4 linked regions of the Bombyx mori genome follow. The protein of the gene in region 4 binds, or shares a complex with, the protein of the main gene of each other region. Links are inferred from orthologs where the notes say so. Each region holds a gene or a part of one and is shown on either strand. Other genes may lie near its edges. The genes, in order: DNA-directed RNA polymerases I, II, and III subunit RPABC4; general transcription factor IIF subunit 1; general transcription factor IIH subunit 5; general transcription factor IIF subunit 2.

Region 1 (5,074 bases), on a different chromosome or scaffold from region 4:
TCAATTGCTACCAAATCTGCCACCAAATTCCGTTGTAGTAGTCAACAATGCGTCATATCACTATAAACAGTCTGACCCCGCTCCAACTGCCAATGCCAAAAAAGTCTATATGAAGAAATGGTTACAAGAAAAAGAAATTCCATACGATGAAAACATGTTGAAACCCCAGCTTTTTAGCTTGATTAAAGCACATAAGGAACAACACAAAACATACAGCATTGATAAAATTTTATCAAACCACAACCATTCAGTGCTTCGCTTACCTCCATACCATCCAGACCTCAACCCAATTGAAATGGCTTGGGCAGCTATTAAAGGGTATGTCAGTAGCAAAAATGTCGACTGGAGCACTGGCAAAGTAATAGAGCTAGTGAAGGAAAAGGTCGCGGTGATGGGTGCTCCGGAATGGGGTAGAATATGTCAAAAGATAAAAGATATTGAGGCGGAGTATGTAAAAAGTGATCATGTGGTAGATTTAGTCACTGATGAGTTTGTAATTTTTGCTGACGATGATTGCGACACGGATGAAGAAAGTAGTGATGATGATGATGATGGTCATGATTATGATAGCGAAAAAACAATTAAAAATACCAGCTCAGCTTCAGCTGATCCAAGACCTGGCACCAGCTCCTAGTTTTGACCTAATGGAAGGAATATCTATTTTACCCCTAGATTAAATTACTACAATTATTAACCTGTATTTTTTGTTCATGTACTAATAAATATATAAATAAATACATATTATGTTGTTTTTAATAACTTAACATTTTTGTACGTAATTGTACGATGCGCGAACTTACCCCCACTACGTCAACTAATGCTCAAGAAGTTTGCCGAGTATTAAGCGAATAGGCAGGTGCAGGTAGGGAAAAAAATGAAAAAATATTTATTTCTTTGTTTACTATGTTTGTTTTTTTAAGGGATTTTATGACCTGGTAACTAAGACCTTTAGGTCAAGTCTTATTTTAATTTTAATGATAACTTTTTTATATGAAAAATGATATTATTAAATGAAATGAAGTTGATTATTGTGAAACATGGCATGAAATGAAATGAAAACGAAATGAAATGAGAAAATATGGGATGAAATATAATCTCAGTAAAATGGTGGTCATTTACTAAGATTTTTCAGTGGACTTTTTGGAGGATCCCGAGAAGTTACGTCCAGCGGCTTTGTTCCATTTTCCCACATTTGTGCACTTTCACAGATATTAAACTGCTAATAAACCACCATTATTACACATTTAAACCCGAAGAAACACTAAATAGACAAAATATAACAAATCACACAATATCACTCCTCGCGTTCCCGCCAAAAAGTCTGTTTTTCTATGTTTGGGAGCTTAATGCACAGATTAGCTAACTCAATCCATAAATAAAATGTAAAAAAATATGCCATTTATTTGCTTTACGGCTCACTGAATTTGGTCCCCTTTTTTAATTTTCGATTTTTTTAATTTTTAATTATTTGTTCGTCGTTTGTTCGTTAATGTTCGCGCGTAACAAAAAGGTAGTAAATACGGCCGTCGGCCATTGCCATCTGACTGACAAAACCGGCGCATGCGCAATGTAGGCGTGAGGTGATAATTTGCTTATTAGATATAAAATAATTAATAATTTCGAATTTACTTGTTTTTATGATCGAACAATCACCAATAGTCGTCGAACAAACAATAATTGATCAAAATTAATTAATCTGAGCAATAAAAACAAAGATATCTAGTAAGAGGGGCCAACTGAAGGGTGATCATTTGTTTAATTAATTATAAATAAATAAAAGACGAACAGATAATTTTACATTCAAACATTGACGATCAAACGACGAACAAATAATTAAAAATAATCCTCGGTTCCCCTCCAATGTCCCGATGATTTTTTCTTTTAAATTTCCACTCCTTTTTTTACGTATTTTTTTCTTCAACAAGACAAGCCCTCTTTTGAACAAAACGTTTTATGGTTTAAGTTCCCTTTGCGGCTTAATTAAACAAATCCAAAAACCATAGATTCTACACACAAAATAACAATCCAAAGCATAGATTATACACTTAATATAAAGCTTAAATCAAATTGGTGATTTAAAATAAAACACATTTTTTATTATTATTTAATTTTTCTCTATTTTAGCACATAATGGCTGACACAACTGGGAAAGAGCAATCAGTTACTAAAGTGCCAATGATATATGTTTGTGGAGGTACAGTGTAACCAAATAATAACAAAACTTCTATCACTTTGTAAAACACTAACACAAAATAACCTAATAATTGTTAGGTATCAGCATACCCCAATAATTGAATATTTTTTTTGTATTTCTTTTTCTCTTGATTTATGAACATTTTTTATAGAAAAAAGAAAGAAACTACTTTTAAAATGTTCTTACCGATAACACTAAGCTTGTCAATGTCTACTAAACAAAGAATTAATAAATCAGTTAATTTGTCTTTTGTGTATAGTAGATTATAAAATTATTCACACTGTCTTATAACATTGTATAAATTAAGGCGTTTTGTTTAATGTGTTATTGTTTTACTATATTTCAAATGGGGAATGCATCTGTATAAATATAAATGTTCTTTAGTAAAGCTAAAAGCCGTAAAAGCTTAAGTGCTTTTAATAAAACTTGTTAATATTAATATTAAAATTTAAAAAACCTAAACTTAAAAGTATTAGAAAAATGAAATTGATTCAATTGAGAGTAAATTATATTGTTTGCCCTTTTCTACATTATTGTTTTTGCCGATCATCTACTTCAACTGTTTAAATGTTGGTTTCTTTAATAAATGCAATCCTGAAACTATAATATGGGTCTGCAAAACAAATGATGCTTTCATTATCATTTTCAGAATGTCACAAAGAGAATGAAATCAAACCAAGAGATCCTATTAGGTGCAGAGAATGTGGTTACAGAATAATGTACAAGAAAAGAACAAAAAGACGTATCCTTTTGATTCTATAAATATATTCTTAAAGTAAAGATTATAGGACTAGGATACAGCCTAGTGATTTTAATCAGTAGAAAGGTATTGACAGGTATCACCCATATTTAATTCCTTCATTGTGGAAGTGATTCGTGATCACATTTCGAGAGTATATTTCTTTGGATATTGGTATATGCAATTTGCACATTTGCATGGTTGCACAGCTTGACACAACTACACCATCTGTTTTATCCTTTAGATCACATTGAGCTTGCAAGAAAATAAATGTAATAAATGAGTCGACTATTATCAAAGGCGGCAATCTGACTTTTGGACAATGATTGGTAAATCAGAAAAACGAATTATTGACTTTGTATTCCATTGGCAGTCACAAAACTCTTCGGAACGACATCTTAGATAAATAACAGGTTAACTATTAACCTTTATTTAATGCAGGTTTTGAACCGTATTCTTTGAAGGAGACGATTATATTCAAATAAATCTGTATTGACATATCAATAAAAAAAAATTGTCCAAATGTACAGATTGCCACCTTTGATAATAGACGACTCATATCTGTTAAAATCTTCAGAAAATTACCCTTTTTGTAGTTTGTGTTGATTTTAAATTCATCATATTTTTGTTCGTAATATTCTGAAAAATTTTCCTTAAGTAAGAATTCAGTGGTTGTGTTTGACGCTCGGTAAACGAATTCTGGAAACAAAACCCTAGAAGATAAGTTCGGTGGATACATCATGCACAGAAGAGTGAAATAAATTTATAATAAGGTTAATGTGTATTTTTGTTACTTTGTCTATGCTCTAATAATACTGACCAATGAAAAAAAATATATACAAGGTAGTTTTTTTATAGTAGATTTATAGATCTACATCATCACTTTACATTATATACTGGTGGTAGCCCATAGACATTAAAACATGAATGCCACCTACCGCCATGATATATGTGTTCTAAATTGTACCCAATAGATATAAGTAATCTGAATGATTTGAAGTATCAATCAACTTATTTGATGTTTCTAAATGAACTACTGCCTTAAAAAAAAAAGACTTAAGTGCAAGAAAAATATGTAACTTTATAGATAGATATCAAATGAGTTCATTATCTTTTTTTTTTATTGCTTCGATGGGTGAATGAGCTCACAGCCCACCAGGTGTTAAGTGGTTACTGGAGCCCATAGACATCTACAACGTAAATGCGCCACCCACCTTGAGATAAAGTTCTAAGGTCTCAAGTATAATTACAACGGCTGCTTCACCCTTCAAACCGAAACGCATTACTGCTTCACGGCAGAAATAAGCAGGGCGGTGGTACCTACCCGCGCGGTCTCACAAGAGGTCCTACCACCAGTAATTACGCAAATTATAATTTTGCGGGTTTGATTTTCATTACACGATGTTATTCCTTTAATCGTAAACATGGGTGGCGGCATTTACGTGTGACCGTTGGCCAGTTTTGCACACGACACCGCTAGTGGCGCCAGACGCAAAGTGTCAATATGGAGTACTTTCGTAAAACTTCCGTTAAATAATAACAACTAATAAAAAAAACAAAAGGGAAATATCTCAGTGTATTTTAATTATGTAACTTCATCATTATAAAGTTTTAACAATTTATTAAAATTATTACCTCTCATAATAAAACACCAGAAAATGTATGTCTAAAATTTTACAATAGCCACAAATATACATTTTTTTTCGATCCATAAAAACTATCAATAAATAATTGTTAGGACTCACGACATTAATATCAAATTTAATTTTTCACACATTCCTCTAAGTCAACTTTTTGCTTACGTTATATAATAGTGAATATAAACATGCTATGGGTATACACATGCATAAAGAAAATTTGAATAAAGAGATTTAATTCCATTCTATAGTTACCAACTCACTAATCATAATCAAAAAGTTTATAGCACATACAAATAACATTCTTGGAAACAAAATACAAAATCATGACAGTTTATGATCAAGTAACTTTACATGTTCTGTCTCGAATTTATATTATGTCCCAATTAGAGAACTATACAGATGACGTAATAAATTTCAATTTATCGGTAGTTGAAATATAAAAATTACATAGAAAAATATCAATTAAAAATCATTTTAAACTTGAAATAACTAAATGATTAT
Region 2 (5,283 bases), on a different chromosome or scaffold from region 4:
AGCTCGTTCACCCATTTAAGCAATAAAAAATAAATAAATAAACGAGCGTAATTTTGTGAGTTGTCAGTTGCGTAATGCGTGCGGACTCACAAAAGGTCCTACCACCAGTAAAAACCTTTTGACCTCACCCTTAATAGCGAAGCCCTTGCCCGCAGTGGCTTTAGTAATGTAATGCTATAAGCACAGCATACCAGTACGAAGTCCAGCTGACGATGTTAGAAACCAACTACGCTTTAAGTGCTTGCTTTATTTTACCATAAGACCTACCATCACCAGCTTCAGCTGACCCCACCTCTGGCTTTGAATACCGGAAACTGAGTACCTTTTTTAGCTTTCCCTTTAGCTTTCTTTTCGTCTGGGTCCTCTTCGTCTGCATCGTCGACTCCGCGGAGCCGTTTCCGTAACATCAACGAGAAGAAATTCATAACCTTGTTACGCCTAGTGCAGAAAAAAATCGATCATCGACTTCAATGAAACATATTTTGAAATGTCACTAGAAACAGCAATGGATTCGGTCCAACCATCTTTCTCATATACTATATACGGGGCGACGGAGACCAAAAAGCAATAAATTTTCAAATAATTCAAACAATAAAGTTATTGTAATCATTCTCGTATATCTTTAATGTACAAAAAATAAACTTTTTTTTTCAAATTATTAGTTTTATAACAATAGTCTGTTGCCCTGAAACAGAGATGTAATAAAGTGTTTTGTCTTTTTTCTATTTAGATAAAGCATAAGTACTCAATTCTTCAAATATGCAGACAACAATAAAAAAATATATTTTAATTTTAAGTTCAACTATCTATTATGATCTGGTTTTTTTTTTCCTATATTATATTTATCGTTACATGCAGTGCGAAAAACAATCATTTAAGCTCTAGATCATTATCGTCAAAGGATTTAGGATAATTACAAAGCACCTTCATTTTCGGGAATGACAGTCTGTATAAAATATGAGTAAATGATTTACAAGTAATTTTACTGGTGGTAGGACCTCTTGTGAGTCCGCGCGGGTGGGTACCACCACCCTGACTATTTCTGCCGTGAAGCAGTAATGCGTTTCGGTTTGAAGGGTGGGGCAGCCATTGTAACTATACTTGAGACCTTAGAACTTATATCTCAAGGTCGGTGGTTACGTTGTGGATGTCTATGGGCTCCAGTAACCAATTAACACCAGGTGGGCTGTGAGCTCGTCCACCCATCTAAGCAAATAAAAAAAAATAAAAAAAATGTCATGGACCATCTTACCTGCCAAATTCCTGTTCGGCTTCTTCAGCTGACAGCGCTTTGTATCTCTGAATCGGTTGGAAATTGTACCTGTTAGAATTCAGTTTTTAGTTTCTTAAGAATTAACTACCTTCATTTTTCTACTATATTTGAGCAATTAAAAAAGAACATTAATAACACAAAATAATAATAAAGGAACAGAGATTCACACACAGCATTCAGATTATTTTTAAATAAAATAGAAGCATTTCTTTCATGTTTTGTAAATATTGCATGAACATTCCGTACCATTCCTGGAGTGGATAGGCGTCTATTGCGCCATCCGCTGCGTGAGTGAACACATAATATGCAGCATTCTCTGATACTCCACCTTCACGAATACCTTTGAATCTAAAAATATGATAATACATGATATGAAAATTACCAGTTACATATTAATTAGTATTATATAGAGCAAGCAAATAGGCATAACCACACGTTAGTCTATAACACAAGACTTTTCATTTAATTATATGCAGTTTTTCATCCTGTTTTCAATCATTGACTTTTAATGAAAAAGGAAGAAGTTCTGATTTAATTTTATTTATTTTATTTTTATCTTCGAACTTTTTCTAGGTTAAACGATTCTGATAAATCTTTTGTTGTGTAAAAATTGTTCCAACTCATGTGAAATTAAATTATTTCTTGTGCATTTGTTGTAAAGGAACCACCAAACAATATCAGAAGAGGTTATTGTTATTTGTTAATTACTAACTTCTTGCCGGTCTTTCCACCGACTTTCAGGATCCACGGCTGGTCTTCCGGTTTGTACTTTCTTGATATTATACCGAATTTCTTGCGACGTGCTTCCTCACGCATGTCCCGTCCGTATTCCGAGCCTGCACCAAATCTGGATTTGTGTGACGAGTATTACCAAAAATATTACGTAATAGTAGTAGTATTTTAATTCCCAAGTATTCAATAATCTTGGAGCTGTTAAGATCACTTTTTATAAAGGGTGTTCATGGCAAATCTATTTTTTAAAGCATTGAGTAAATAACCTTAATTTAAGGTGTGTCAGTCTTTAGTGTCAACAATGTTAACCAACCGGTTTCCAGTTTTTGACTATTCTTTGTATTATTATCTGCTAGCATGCAAATTTTTTGAGTTACAGAATTAACTTAATATTAAATAATTATGCCATAAAATTATGACATACTTTTCACATTTATTTTTAATGATGTAGAAAATTAATTTATGATTATTAAGTCAATCTATTTGATATCACCATCAAAGAGTTGAATTTTCTTAATACTAACTTGGGCATTTCCTCTTCAGCTCCTTTGAATTCTTTGCTGTTGTTCTCTCGCTCCATCTTGACATGAGTCCATTTTGCAAAATCTACATTCAATGTGGCATTGAACCTCATAACATGATACTTCTTCTTTACATTCTTTGGCACTCTTATTTTATACTCCTGTACTGTGGCGGCCGGTGTCTGAGAAATTAATTTATTATATCTGTGAAATCGTAACTATTGTTTAAATGATTACGATACCATTCTATGTATGATTTGGTAAAATTTATCAAATTTGGTTATATTATCCTTTTATGTACCTACTTACTTCAGTAAGAACACATATTCTTGCATATTAATTTAATATTATTTTGAACCTCACAATTTGTTGATTGTTTTAAGTTCTTAAACGAAAAAGGTGAAATATCGTATCACGATATTTCACCTTTTTCGTTTAAGAACGAATAATATCTTACCGTACTACTTCCAGGTGTAGACATTTTTTACACTTATATCTATAATATCAAGATTAATGACGGTATATAAATTTATCAAATGACAATAGTCCTCGATATCATGATCTCACTAACGTACACGTTAAATTTCTTCAAATCAAATAATTTATTACGTTACAGTTTACTCTTTGATTAAAAATATTGTAATCAATTAAAACAATGCTAATCGCAAACTGTGCTGGCAAAATGAAAATTCTGTCAAATTAATGTCAAAAGTCAAAATTTCATCAAGCACAGAGCACATTTCAGTCTGTCAATGAATTTATGATCATAAGTATCAAGTCATATATGACTAAATAATATTATCATTTAACTATGCTCATGACTTCTATTATTTTAATAAACATGCAATAGTCATTAGGATTTAAAACATTTTTTTCATACGTGACGAAAAAGCAATCTTATCAAATGTTTACAGCAGCTTAGCATATTGTCGTCCAGCATTAGAAATTACCCACAAGGTTAGTCACCTCCTCTTTGCGTCGATAATCCACAACAATGAGGGTCATGGCGTCCCATAATAATTTCGCTTGGACTATCCTGCGCCAACATTGCCTATCCTTGACTTTCCGGAGGGCATCGTGGACTGAGGTGTTGAGAGTAGAGGCAGCTAGTGCAATCATAGCATTGGACTTCTGCTTCTGAACCTTCTTCCGCATACTTTGCCTGTTACCAGCAATTATTCTAAATTGTCATCTTCTTTCTGACAATGTGTCCAAAGAACTCAAAATTTGAACGGAATCTTGAACTCAGTAAGAATGTATTTGTAGGATCAAATGTTCTATCAAGCCCTTCCATCCTAAAAGTTATAATCATAAAACAGATATGGCTTTGATTATTTTGGCTGTATTCCCATTGCCAATGAAAAAAGAAAAAAAAAACTGTTTACAATAATAATCACAATACTTAAAAATCTGTTTCATAAAATATTTAGAAATTTAAGTTAATTTATTTTTCATTAAAATGGGTAAAAAGAAAAATAAGAATAAAGTTAGTGGCGCTGTTAAAACCGCAGCAAAAACTGAAAAAAAGCTAGCTAGCAAATTAAAAAAAGAACTCGCAAATCTTGGTGAGGTTAGACCATGCCTTTTCGCACTATTTATTAGAAACTCTCAAAAAGTTACCTGAAATTACGCCCTAATGGATCTAATATAGTAGTATAAACTTAAATGTTATTGAAACTAACTTACTAAAATTATTTAAATGGGTAAATTTTGTAAAAGTCATGAAAAACATAAAATTAAATAATTCGAAATAATTTATATTTTTATGATTTAATCTAGCTTTAATTATTTGGAGATAATATAATAACAAAAACTACTTCTATGATATGACGTAAATGATAATAAAAGTCATTTTGTCACTAAACTAAAGCTGAAGAAAGAGCAAGTAAAATTTTAATAGAAGTTTTGTATTATGTATATTTCAGGAAGATATAGCTAAAGTGATAGCTGAGATAGAACGGGAGGAAGCTAAACGATATGCTGCATCAGAGAAGGTCCTCGAAAAGCCACCATCCTCCAGAGCGTACGCAACGCTCACCCCACATCCAATCAATAATGAGCTTGTGCTGTTTGGTGGAGAATACCACAACGGACAAAAGGTATCAATTTCATTTTTAGAGATATTACAATATTAGGTAAAGTATCATGATGGATAAAGAAAATACATAAATTGGTGTATCTGTAATTTTATAGTCCATCCAGTGTTAAGTTATTACTGAATTTAGACATTACAACATGAATAGCATTACTAACTGAGACATCAAGTTGAATTACTTCTTTAACCCTTAAAACTGGAATGCATACTTTGTGGCAGAAATAGGTATAGAATGATGATGAGTGATTTTGATAGAAGAATATACATACATAAATGTGCCTAATTGCTATCACTTTTACAGAATACATTGTGTGCTTTCATGACTTGATACTAACATACAGTCTATCAAGAATAAATCTATACATCCACTTTGTAAGGAACTATCTCAATTCACAAGAAGTATTTAATAAATCACATAATTTTCGGTCAAGTAACAAAACCGTCAAAATTGACTAATTTGAATAGTAAATACTGTAGGAAAAGTTTTTAAAACAATTATTCTATTTTTGAACACCTGAAGAATTTGCAGGTACTTTCTCTTTTAAATGGTTCCATGGCCTACTGCAAACTTTTTCTATTCTATTGGGAATATGGTGAAAGTGTCATATATATTTTTTTTCCTACCTACGCTGATAGCCTTGAGAGGCTATATCAGCATCGCC
Region 3 (5,285 bases), on a different chromosome or scaffold from region 4:
AATTTCATCCCAGTTGATTAATGTCTTAAATTAATCATCTTCATTTCACTCCATATTATAATTTTTCATCAAATGAGTCGTCTATTATCAAAGGTGGCAATCTGTGCATTTGGACAAAAAAATGTTATTGATATGTCAATACAGATTGAGTTGAATATAATCGTCTCCTTCAAAGAATACGGTTCAAAACCTGCATTAAATAAAGGTTAATAGTTAACCTGTTATTTATCTAAGATGTCGTTCCGAAGAGTTTTGTGACTGCCAATGGAATACAAAGTCAATAATTCGTTTTTCTGATTTACCAATAATTGTCCAAAAGTCAGATTGCCGGCTTTGATAATAGTCGACTCAAATAAGCATTTATATTAAAATAAGACATGACTTAAAGGTCTTAGTTACCAGGTCATAAAATCCCTTAAAAAAAAAGCTTACACTTACGCCTTAAAGGCTTATTACACTTGGCTAAATTTAGTCGACTGAATTCAAAAGCAAATTTAGAAGCAAGTTGGAAGCTTCTGATTACACTGTTCTTAACTTCAGTTACTGAATCAATTGTCAGTATAAACGCGACGAAGTAGGACGTGTCGTGTGTGTGTGAATGGCCCCAGTATTATCTAAACAACAAAAAATTGGTCTAGGCGCAGACCTCGCTGTCGGCTCAATTGAAAAAAAAAAAAAATGAAGAGTATGGGCGAAGAAATATATATTGCTGCGCGGAAAGTTAGCAAATATGAACATTATGAGTGATTTATCTATCCGATGATATGTAGGAGAAGTAAAATGTCCCTTAGAAATAAGGTGACACTCTACAAAACTTGCATACGCCCCGTCATGACCTATGCAAGTGTAGTGTTCGCTCACGCGGCCCGCATACACTTGAAATCATTCCAAGTCATTCAATCCCGTTTTTGCAGGATAGCCGTCGGAGCCCCGTGGTTCGTCAGGAACGTCGACCTCCATGACGACCTGGACTTCGAGTCCACCAGTAAGTATATGCAGTCGGCGTCAATGCGCCACTTCGATAAAGCGGCACGACACGAGAACCCTCTCATCGTGGCCGCCGGTAACTACATTCCCGATCCTGCGGACAGAATGGAAAGCAGTCGACGTCGCCCAAAACACGTCATCTCGGATCCTCCCGATCCACTAACGGTGCTTTTAGGTACTTCAAGCACCGGTCACCGTTCTCGTCGAACCCGTCGCTTGCGACGAAGGGCTCGACGAGTAAATTAACTCTTAGACACAGCCCACTGAGTTTCTCGCCGGATCTTCTCAGTGGGTCGCGTTTCCGATCCGGTGGTAGATTCTGCGAAGCACGGCTCTTGCTAGGGTTCGTGTTAGCAACATCGTCAGGTTTGAGCCCCGTGAGCTCACCTACAAAAGTTAGGGTTACGCTGATATAGCCTCTCAAGGCTCTCAGCTTAGGCAGGAAAAAAAAAAAAAAAAAAAAAAAAAAAAAAGAATGATTTAGAACCAGCAGACTTCAGAAATGATCTACGAATGGATTCGAGGTCGTTTGACCAAATATTAAGCCTTGTGGCACAATTTTTTTCAAAAGCAGGATACTATCCTACGATACTACTATAGTCTATTATATATCTATATTATATAACTATTACATATCTAATCCTACGATAGTATAAGTCCAAAAGAAAGATTGGTTGTAACATTAAGATTTCTTGCAACAGGAAATTCGTATCAAGATTTAATTTTTAGTTCTTTATAATATCCCAACCCCTTCTGACAAAAATTATCCCTGAAACAAGTTGGGCTATTTATAAATGTTTGGCACATTTAATAAAGGTGAGCGAAATAAATACTTTTTATTCGGAAGTAAAAAACAAACTAAGCCGTCCTTACGCACGGAGAGCTATGGGACGACTGAAATCATTAAGTAACTAAATGCGATTACACCTTCTTATATGCGTTTCTAATTAGGCTTCTAAATGATTTAGTCAGTCAGAAACCATCCTTGCTACTGAATTTAGCAGGTTAACTTACTGAATGCTATTACACCGACTAAATTTAGCAAAGTGTAATGAGCCTTCCACACTTACCCATAAATAATAGATATTAAGTGTATAGTCTATGAATAATAGTTTATAATAGTAATAGTATTCTGTATAACCTATGGTATCTACTGAAAGTAGGGAGTAAATAGGTACCTACATACTTTATTTACAATTAATTATTACATAAAGTGACAAGTTCTAAAACAATGAACCATGGTGAATGTAATGAAAGGTGTCCTCGTTGAATGGTATTTATTATTTTTATTTCTCACAAATATTACTTTTACATATGCAAACTTACAGATAAAGTTAGAATCGTTACAATGTGCTTTAATGATTTGAATTTTAAATTACATCAGTTAATCAATTTACTACGTACAATATATTAACTTGCCAAAGAATTTCTTCTTTGGTTTTTCCCATACTTAAATTTAATGTTCTGGGCCTAGGTTATGAGGAATGCCTTGTATATAAAACTTCATTCAATGTAATCCATATCTTTAGGTATGTTAAAATTTTCTTCTAGTGCATCAATATCTATTTGAAAACTATTTTTTATATAAGATTTCAATATATATACATTTTCTGTCCATCTGTTGCTGGCTGTTTTCAATTCCTACAAAATGAAACATTTTTAATCCAATATTATTATTTGATAATATTATAGTTATGTCTTTGGTTATACATACTACCACCTACAGAAAGCTATTTATCAAAACATAGTATTTTTTTAAATGTACTTTGTTTTCCTTATTTTTAAATAATGAATACAATGCTTAATTAATATACTGATAAGTTATATTGAGTAATATTACCCACCAAATAATAAAATATATATTTTCTAGCATGAAATAGACATGTTAGACTTAAAAGTCATTACCAGTTGTAAGCTCATACAGTTTTGTCATTCTGCCTACATCTGCCAAAAAAAATATACACATTCCAGTTTGATCAGTTCACTTGGCCTTTATGAAATATAATAGTAACTGATCTAATGTGTGCAATATTAAAGTGGGTAGCAGAAGTCACATTGTGATACCTATCAACTTCAGTAACTTACTTAACACTTCAGAAACACTAAATACTATACTACTATAGAAAGGCCATGAACTGATTCATCAATTACTAAATCCTTAAACTTGGGACATTGGCCTTATCTATTGCGCTCACAGTGGGGCGCTAATATGAGCTTGAATGGAATATAGACCTTAAGACATCATCTCATCTACATTAATATAAGAATTGGATTTACAGTTATTTCACGTCTCAGTTGTGCAATATATTCAGGATCAGATTCTCTGTATTTTTGTAATTCTCTCTTATATGAAGCCTCTTGCTTTTGAAGATCTTCTAAAGATGATAATATTTTTATTCTTTCTTCAGATATCTCTCTGCCTTTCTAATATTAAAGTCAATTAATAAATATATCAGTCTCTGATAAATATAGAATAGAATTAAGTTTCATTATAACTCTATAGACTATACTATACTAAGTAAAAAACTATAAATATTCTGACCGATTCTGCTATAAGGACTTCCTCAGTTTTCTTTAACTTCTTCGTACATTCATCAAATTCATTCTGGAGTTCTTGTAGCTTCCTCTTCTTGGTACTTTTTGCTTTGCTACAAGTAATTTATTTAATGTTTGCATGGCATTACCACAGCTTGCTTGATTTGAAAAATAATTTTGCAGTCATAAATTTTTAAAAAGCACAATTGTTTACTCTTAATTTCTCATAGCATCAGTGTGTAAAGTCCATGTAAATTTTATTATTCAAAATAATAAAACTAGTCTTAGTCAATGACTGACTCGGTGGTGCAAAAGTTGGCACCCCTGACTGCCGAAAGTTGTGGATTCGATTCCCATATTGGGCAAAAATTTATTCATTCAGCTTTACTGCTTACATGAGTCCACCTGGTTTTACATGGTAACCGAAGCCCATAGACATTACAACATAAATGCTGCCACCTGCCTTGAGACAAGATTTCTAAGGTCTCAGTTGTAACAGCATGATGACCTAACACCCTTCAAACCGAAATAAATAACTGCTTAATGGCAGAAATAGGCCAGATTTGACGCCAGATGATAATGTACTGTTCTGTTCCCAGTTATTTAGTTAGTTGTTTAACATAGTACCTTGGGAAAGACCAAAAGTACACTGAAGTCCCAATTTTTTCAGAATCAACCAGGTGATCATCAATTAGACTCTGAATCACTTCTTTAACTGATTGCATTGTAATACCCTTTTCTTTTGGTGCTATTTTTTCTAGTTCCTGTAAAAGTTAAAATATAAAATATTATCTTAATAGATTTTGTTATGGCCACTTCTGTTTTATGTGCTGTCTAAACATTTTCTTTTGAACTAATTATTGACTATTTGGTGACTCAACTAACATGATCACCAACAAATAAGAAATTGGACTCCTACCAAGTAAGTCAAATGATGAGTAAACATTCGTGAAAACTTCATTTATTATTACTTTGCTCTCAATTAATTAAAAAACGACCTTGCATTGCTAGTAAGTAAGAAACTCCAGACACTATTTCACACTGTCTCATTTATCCTAAATAAGAGATATATTTTATTGCTTAGTTGAGTGGAAGAGCTTAATACCCACCCCTGGTGTATGTGATTAGGTTACTGGAGTCAACAGACATCACAATGTATGTGCCACCCATCAGTATTATCAGATTTCATTAATTATTTATTGTGAAAGTCATTTATAAACATGTTTAATTACAAAGTTCATTACTAAAATTGGCACCTAACCGCTGGGTTTAAACATTGCTATAATAATACTGTTTAATATGAGTACATCTGGCATCTTATCGTTTAGGGCAGAGTGACATCGAAAGCTATGTATGAAGTTGTAATTTAATGAGGTTACCTTTAATTGAAAAAAATCTTGACTTTGATGGAATATTTCAAGCATTCTGGTCTTCTTTTCATCAGCACTAAGACCTCGTTTCTTGGACATTTTCAGTGATCCGGCAATGAAACAATTCTTACTACACTTGGATGAAACTCTTGCACTTGGTAGAAAGTTTATTCTTCAAGACCTGGATGAAACACACTTGTTCATATCAGCTGATATTGTGGAGACTCTACAAGCTCGCGTTGACGATTTAATGGACCAGCTCAGCATACCCGTGCACGATAAAGGATTATAAATTACGAGGTAAATATTCAAACATATTTGTATAATATATGGTGATAGAGATCCGCATTTGTGCGCGAATCGCGAAATTTTACTTCATCATCATCATCATCA
Region 4 (5,267 bases):
ACAAATTCTAAGGTGCCAAAAGTAATTCTCCTCTTAATATTCTTTAAATTTTAAGTTTAAAATCTATGTAAGGGTCAAAATAGTTAATATACCTAAAGCTCCTGTGACGTAGTACCGGTAAAATGGGGCGATTAGGGACAACTTCCAACTTTATGACCAATTTTAAGGTAGTTGTTGATGTATATAATTCTATATCAGTATCAAAATGATTGAGTCTTGGGGGCATCTTTGTTATCCAATTTAAAACTATGCAACTAGCATTCCAGTTTATGCAAAAAATGCAAAAATAGGTGTAATCCCTATTTACCCGGAAATTGCGGTTAATTGGGACGAAATGAGAAATTTGCTAGGGTTGGCACTACTTGGTTTTAATTTATTTGTTTTATTTACTTATGATTAATTTATATTTACTTGGGAAATGATCCACGACAGATTTGTCCTGTAAGTTGTGAGACAATTAAAAAAAACATCTATTTTATCACTTAAAATTAGTTCAGCGCAATCGGACAACTCCGAATGAACATTGACGGAGACCACGCTACCGTGGACATTATTGTAGTCCCAAAGGATTCTGTATATGGGAGAGTAAGCACCTAAATTCGAACGAGTGAGCTTTCTTATAAACGGTTTATATTTCTTCGGTCTTGGTAAGTACTTAGGGGCTGATATTTTTATCTGGGTTAAGAGATTAGTTATGTCGGTTATTCCATGGATTAATCAGATGAATACCCCCACTCTGAACAAATATTAAATATTTTATAATGTATTACTTAGACATTTTTGTCCACCTCGAGATTTCATTGTTCTTGTTACATGTCTGTGCAAAATCGACTTACTTATATTAAATTGCTTGGCTATTTCAAGTAAAGACTTATTCCCAATTTCATAGGCTTCTATTGCTGTTTTTAATATTAAGGGATCATATCTCTTATAAGGCTTTGCACTCTTTGATACGTAAACGCGAGGCATATCTAAAAATAGAAAACAATACGTAACTGATAATATATTTACCAAACAATAAAATAACACATTGATAATTTTAAATAAAAGTTCTAGACAAAGACATCATGAATAAACCAGATTTTTACCAACAAATTTAAAAAATATTGTTATAACTACATAGACAACCCTACAAACCTGTACCTATTTATACTTAGGTGGTTTCCATTTCACGTATTCTCATCCCAATTGACCCCTTTTTCGTTGTTATTTGTACCTAAGACGTCCCTAATATCCCCCAAAACAACAGATTTTTACATGTATTTTTATTTTATCAAATACATTAAAACCAATAACAACTGAGACTTACCTTTAATATATATGATGGTTCAAACACTAAATAACGTTTATAAATCACAGTCGTCTTCTATTATTATCAAATAAATAAAAGAGAGCAAAGTTTCTAGCACTAAAATAATTTCCAACACAGGAAGTTAATTTGAAACGCGATTTTTTATAAGTTAGCAGCTATTATCATGCATATTCAGAGTTTTTTTGTGAACTTTCAACATTCTACTATTAAACTACAAAAAATGGAAGATTTTGCAACGAATATAAAACTAATATTGTGCGTCGCAAGATTTTCCCGGTTTTTTCCCGATTCGCCTCTCAATCCCTAATCGCCCCATTTTACGGTATTTATTATATTAATCTGTGGTTAAGCTGTCACCATAGATTATACACTTAATATTTTCGAGAGCTGTCACTTATGTAGGTCTTTTGTGGAAGTGCAAGTAAATTTTCTAAGATTTAGTTATAGTTAAAGGAAATCTTTACGACTTTAGTACTTTTAAAGGCCGTTAAAATAGTGTCCGCTATCGACTGCTAATAGATTTTATATTCCACAACAATGACCGAATTGGACTTATCAAATACTGGTAGAGGAGTATGGTTGGTAAAAGTACCTAAATATATAGCAAACAAATGGGAAAAAGCTCCTGGAAACATTGAGGTAGGAAAACTAAAGATCTCCAGAGTACCAGGAACGAGAGCTAAAGTGCAGTTATCCTTGTCAGAAGCAGTGCTATGTTTAAAGGACCCTGGTGAACAAAGCATACCAAAAGAACATAAGCTTGATGTTTCAAACGTTAATACTCAATCTCTAGGTGTATTTTCGCATATTGCCCGTAAGTAGTCTCATAATTATCTATATTTAACGCCTCCTAACATGTCCTGGTGAACTCAATGATAAAATTAATTTCATGTCTAAAGTTCGATATTATATTAATCGTGTTTATTCATAATATAACCATTTTAGCGACAAATACGGACTCTGTAGTACCAGAGACAGAAAACCTTTACATGGAGGGTAGGATTGTACAGAAATTGGAATGCAGACCAAATGATGATGTGACATACTATAAGCTTAAATCTGAATCAATAAAGAAAGCATCCATGCCTCAGCGACAAGTGCAACAGCTTGACAGGATTGTTCAGAACTTCAAACCAGTATCTGACCATCCACATAATGTATGTTTACTGTTGAAATCTAAAGGATTGATTTACTGTATTTTTCAGCAACTGATCATTAAAACATGCCCCTGACTGCATTGGAAGTCAAACTAGAGATGATTAAAAAGTTTTAAATAGAGCATGTGTAGAGCTCTGAGATCTCCAGATGCAGTTCAATACTCTTTGGATATGTTGTTGAATGAAATGCTTCATATAAATTCTACTAGAAGTATTAAAATACAGGTTGCAGCAATGTCTGCTCCCATTGTATAGCAAAGTTATCATTTAGACAAACTCGAAAATAAAAACATGATTGATCAATATAAAAAATTATAAATTGTGTAGTTATTGATAGCTACTTATCTGATAACAGTCCTCCATAGGTTAGGAATTAATGGGACATAAGTAGTGATTGATATAATTGGAATGGTGGAACGGTAAATAGGGAATGTTTAGTAGCTTGGGATGGCCAAGACTGTAAAATTTGCATCTTGAGCTGGTATAAAATACAATAGGTACTTCCACCTTTTATCTGAAGATGGGTGGGCATTCATATATGTGTGGTATTGGTACAGATAGTAGGGTGTGTGTAGATATTGCTCCTGCTTATGTTTACAGCAAATCATTGTGTGCTTAGTGTGAGTTTTTAACTTCTTGATCAAACGGCCGTCTGGTGTAGTGGTAAGTGACATGGTCACTACACAAGGAGGTCGCGGGTTCGAATCCCGCCAAGGTAAGATATTTGTATGATAAATGTAAATGTCTTTCCAGGGTTATGGGTGTACATTAAATATATGTATGTGTATAATAAAATATTATATTTATTTCCGTTATCTGGTACTTGTAACACAAGTTCTTTACGAACTTAGCACGGGACCAGTTAACGTGGCGTGATTGTTAGTAAATATTTATATTTATATTTATTTATATTTAAAAAATAACTCAAATTTGTATGAAGTTGGAATAGCGCCCCTGCGTTTGCTTCTTGGGGTGCTGTTCCAACTCTGATCGAGAAGTTAAAAAGTTCACACTAAGCACATTGGTTTGAAGGAAAACCTCATACAATAGAATTGAGATTTCGACTTCTCAAGGTTTTTGGTGCTATTCATGTTATGATGACTAGTGAGGTAACCACTTTACACTGGGTGGACCACGGGGTTCTTCACTCATCTATATAGTAAATTAAATTATAAACATCAGTAAATAAAAACAAATGGCTCTGTATATTTTTACTTTCTATGAGCTCTTAAACCAACCAGAAAACTTTTCACAAGTGACACAATGAATAACAACAGGTTTTAAAATTTCTTAAGTTGTTTTACTTTTTGTATTCTATTAAGTTTATTTCATTTCATTATGTTAATCATGCTTTTTTTAATTTTGTATATTAAAATTTCGTAAAATATTTAGATTGACTACCAAGAAAGGAAGAAGGCTGAAGGGAAAAAGGCTCGTGATGATAAAGAAGCAGTGCTCAATATGCTGTTTGCAGCATTTGAGAAACATCAGTATTACAATATTAAGGATCTTCAAAAGGTAATAAATACTATTCTGATGATTTTATATTTGTCTAAACATAAAATTATTAACACATTATTAAGCAAAAAATTTAATCATTGTCTTAATAAAAAAAATAAAGGCCAAAAGAAACTGTTTCACTGTATATATTATATTCTAATTTTGATAATACTGTTCATACTTTGAAACTGAGAATAGTAGTGACTTTGAATTTAAAATTAGATGTTCATAAAAAAAAACACATCTAATTGCATTTTTTTTTATTGCTTTGATGAATGGACGAGCTCACAGCCCACCTGATGTTAAGTGGTTACTGGAGCCCATAGACATCTACAACGTAAATGCGCCACCCACCTCGAGATATAAGTTCTAAGGTCTCAGTATAGTTACAACGCCTACCCCACCCTTCGAACCGAAACGCATTACTGCTTCACGGCGGAAATAGGCGGGGTGGTGGTACCTACCCGTGTGGACTCCCAAGAGGTCCTAGTGAATTATGTAATTATTTTTTCATTAAATCATTATAATAATAGACATAACGATTTAAGTATATTATTTATTGTAATTTCAGATCACCAGACAGCCAATAGTATATTTGAAAGAAATTCTGAAAGAGGTCTGTAATTACAATTTAAGAAATCCTCACAAGAATATGTGGGAGTTAAAACCAGAATATAGGCATTACAAACAAGATGTTCCTGTTGAAACAAAGGAGGATAAGAACAGTAATTCTGATACTGAATAGACTGAAATTTGTATTAATTATACAAATATACATAAATATGGATGTCAGAGAATCCTCGACAGAAGCAAAGTTTTTATGTATTTTTCAATAACTTATATTATAAGATGTGTTAAGAATGTGAATTTTTCATTATTACCTGTAATATTATGTGATCAATCTTGGGTGTATACTCGAAATAATGTAAAGATTTTAAAAATAATTATTATTGTGTATTCTTGGACAGTATCCTCCTACAAATGTCTCAGTAGAAAAAAGGGAGATGACATTCCCGATCCTACGGACAGAATGGAAAGCAGTCGACGTCGCCCAAAACACGTCATCTCGGATCCTCCCGATCCACTAACGGTGCTTTTAGGTACTTCAAGCACCGGTCACCGTTCTAGTCGAACCCGTCGCTTGCGACGAAGGGCTCGACGAGCAAATTAACTCTCAGACACAGCCAACTGAGTTTCTCGCCGGATCTTCTCAGTGGGTCGCGTTTCCGATCCGGTGGTAGATTCTGCGAAGCACGGCTCTTGCTAGGGTTCGTGTTAGCATTGTCGTCAGGTTTGAG

What was found.
Region 1: general transcription factor IIF subunit 2 (region 4) and DNA-directed RNA polymerases I, II, and III subunit RPABC4 share a complex: the UniProt entries of both Homo sapiens proteins name them as parts of the TBP-based Pol II pre-initiation complex. The link is inferred for Bombyx mori from reciprocal best matches to the Homo sapiens genes GTF2F2 and POLR2K.
Region 2: general transcription factor IIF subunit 2 (region 4) and general transcription factor IIF subunit 1 share a complex: the UniProt entries of both Homo sapiens proteins name them as parts of the TBP-based Pol II pre-initiation complex. The link is inferred for Bombyx mori from reciprocal best matches to the Homo sapiens genes GTF2F2 and GTF2F1.
Region 3: general transcription factor IIF subunit 2 (region 4) and general transcription factor IIH subunit 5 share a complex: the UniProt entries of both Homo sapiens proteins name them as parts of the TBP-based Pol II pre-initiation complex. The link is inferred for Bombyx mori from reciprocal best matches to the Homo sapiens genes GTF2F2 and GTF2H5.

The regions. Positions count from the first base shown.
Region 1 is NC_085111.1:12,248,696-12,253,769, forward strand, and holds DNA-directed RNA polymerases I, II, and III subunit RPABC4, read left to right. Parts: upstream 1-1,937; 5' UTR 1,938-2,130; coding exon 2,131-2,194; intron 2,195-2,843; coding exon 2,844-2,936; intron 2,937-3,602; coding exon 3,603-3,625; 3' UTR 3,626-3,775; downstream 3,776-5,074. Other genes in the region: uncharacterized protein LOC119628526, read left to right, coding at 1-634. UniProt on the Homo sapiens protein: DNA-dependent RNA polymerase catalyzes the transcription of DNA into RNA using the four ribonucleoside triphosphates as substrates.
Region 2 is NC_085121.1:15,714,633-15,719,915, forward strand, and holds the start of general transcription factor IIF subunit 1, read right to left. Parts: upstream 3,268-5,283; 5' UTR 3,008-3,267; coding exon 2,984-3,007; intron 2,709-2,983; coding exon 2,530-2,708; intron 2,121-2,529; coding exon 1,986-2,120; intron 1,622-1,985; coding exon 1,520-1,621; intron 1,322-1,519; coding exon 1,253-1,321; intron 439-1,252; coding exon 323-438; intron 1-322. Other genes in the region: kelch domain-containing protein 4, read left to right, coding at 3,986-4,096, 4,452-4,625. UniProt on the Homo sapiens protein: TFIIF is a general transcription initiation factor that binds to RNA polymerase II and helps to recruit it to the initiation complex in collaboration with TFIIB. It promotes transcription elongation.
Region 3 is NC_085109.1:11,978,765-11,984,049, forward strand, and holds the start of general transcription factor IIH subunit 5, read left to right. Parts: upstream 1-2,098; 5' UTR 2,099-2,225; coding exon 2,226-2,260; exon of another isoform or gene 2,261-2,490; coding exon of another isoform or gene 2,491-2,628; intron 2,629-3,264; coding exon of another isoform or gene 3,265-3,411; intron 3,412-3,529; coding exon of another isoform or gene 3,530-3,635; intron 3,636-4,149; coding exon of another isoform or gene 4,150-4,286; intron 4,287-4,901; coding exon of another isoform or gene 4,902-4,991; exon of another isoform or gene 4,992-4,997; coding exon 4,998-5,184; 3' UTR 5,185-5,192; intron 5,193-5,285. Other genes in the region: meiotic nuclear division protein 1 homolog, read right to left, coding at 2,491-2,628, 3,265-3,411, 3,530-3,635, 4,150-4,286, 4,902-4,991. UniProt on the Homo sapiens protein: Component of the general transcription and DNA repair factor IIH (TFIIH) core complex, which is involved in general and transcription-coupled nucleotide excision repair (NER) of damaged DNA and, when complexed to CAK, in RNA transcription by RNA polymerase II.
Region 4 is NC_085110.1:12,711,406-12,716,672, reverse strand, and holds general transcription factor IIF subunit 2, read left to right. Parts: upstream 1-1,657; 5' UTR 1,658-1,849; coding exon 1,850-2,126; intron 2,127-2,257; coding exon 2,258-2,469; intron 2,470-3,861; coding exon 3,862-3,987; intron 3,988-4,540; coding exon 4,541-4,714; 3' UTR 4,715-4,830; downstream 4,831-5,267. UniProt on the Homo sapiens protein: TFIIF is a general transcription initiation factor that binds to RNA polymerase II and helps to recruit it to the initiation complex in collaboration with TFIIB.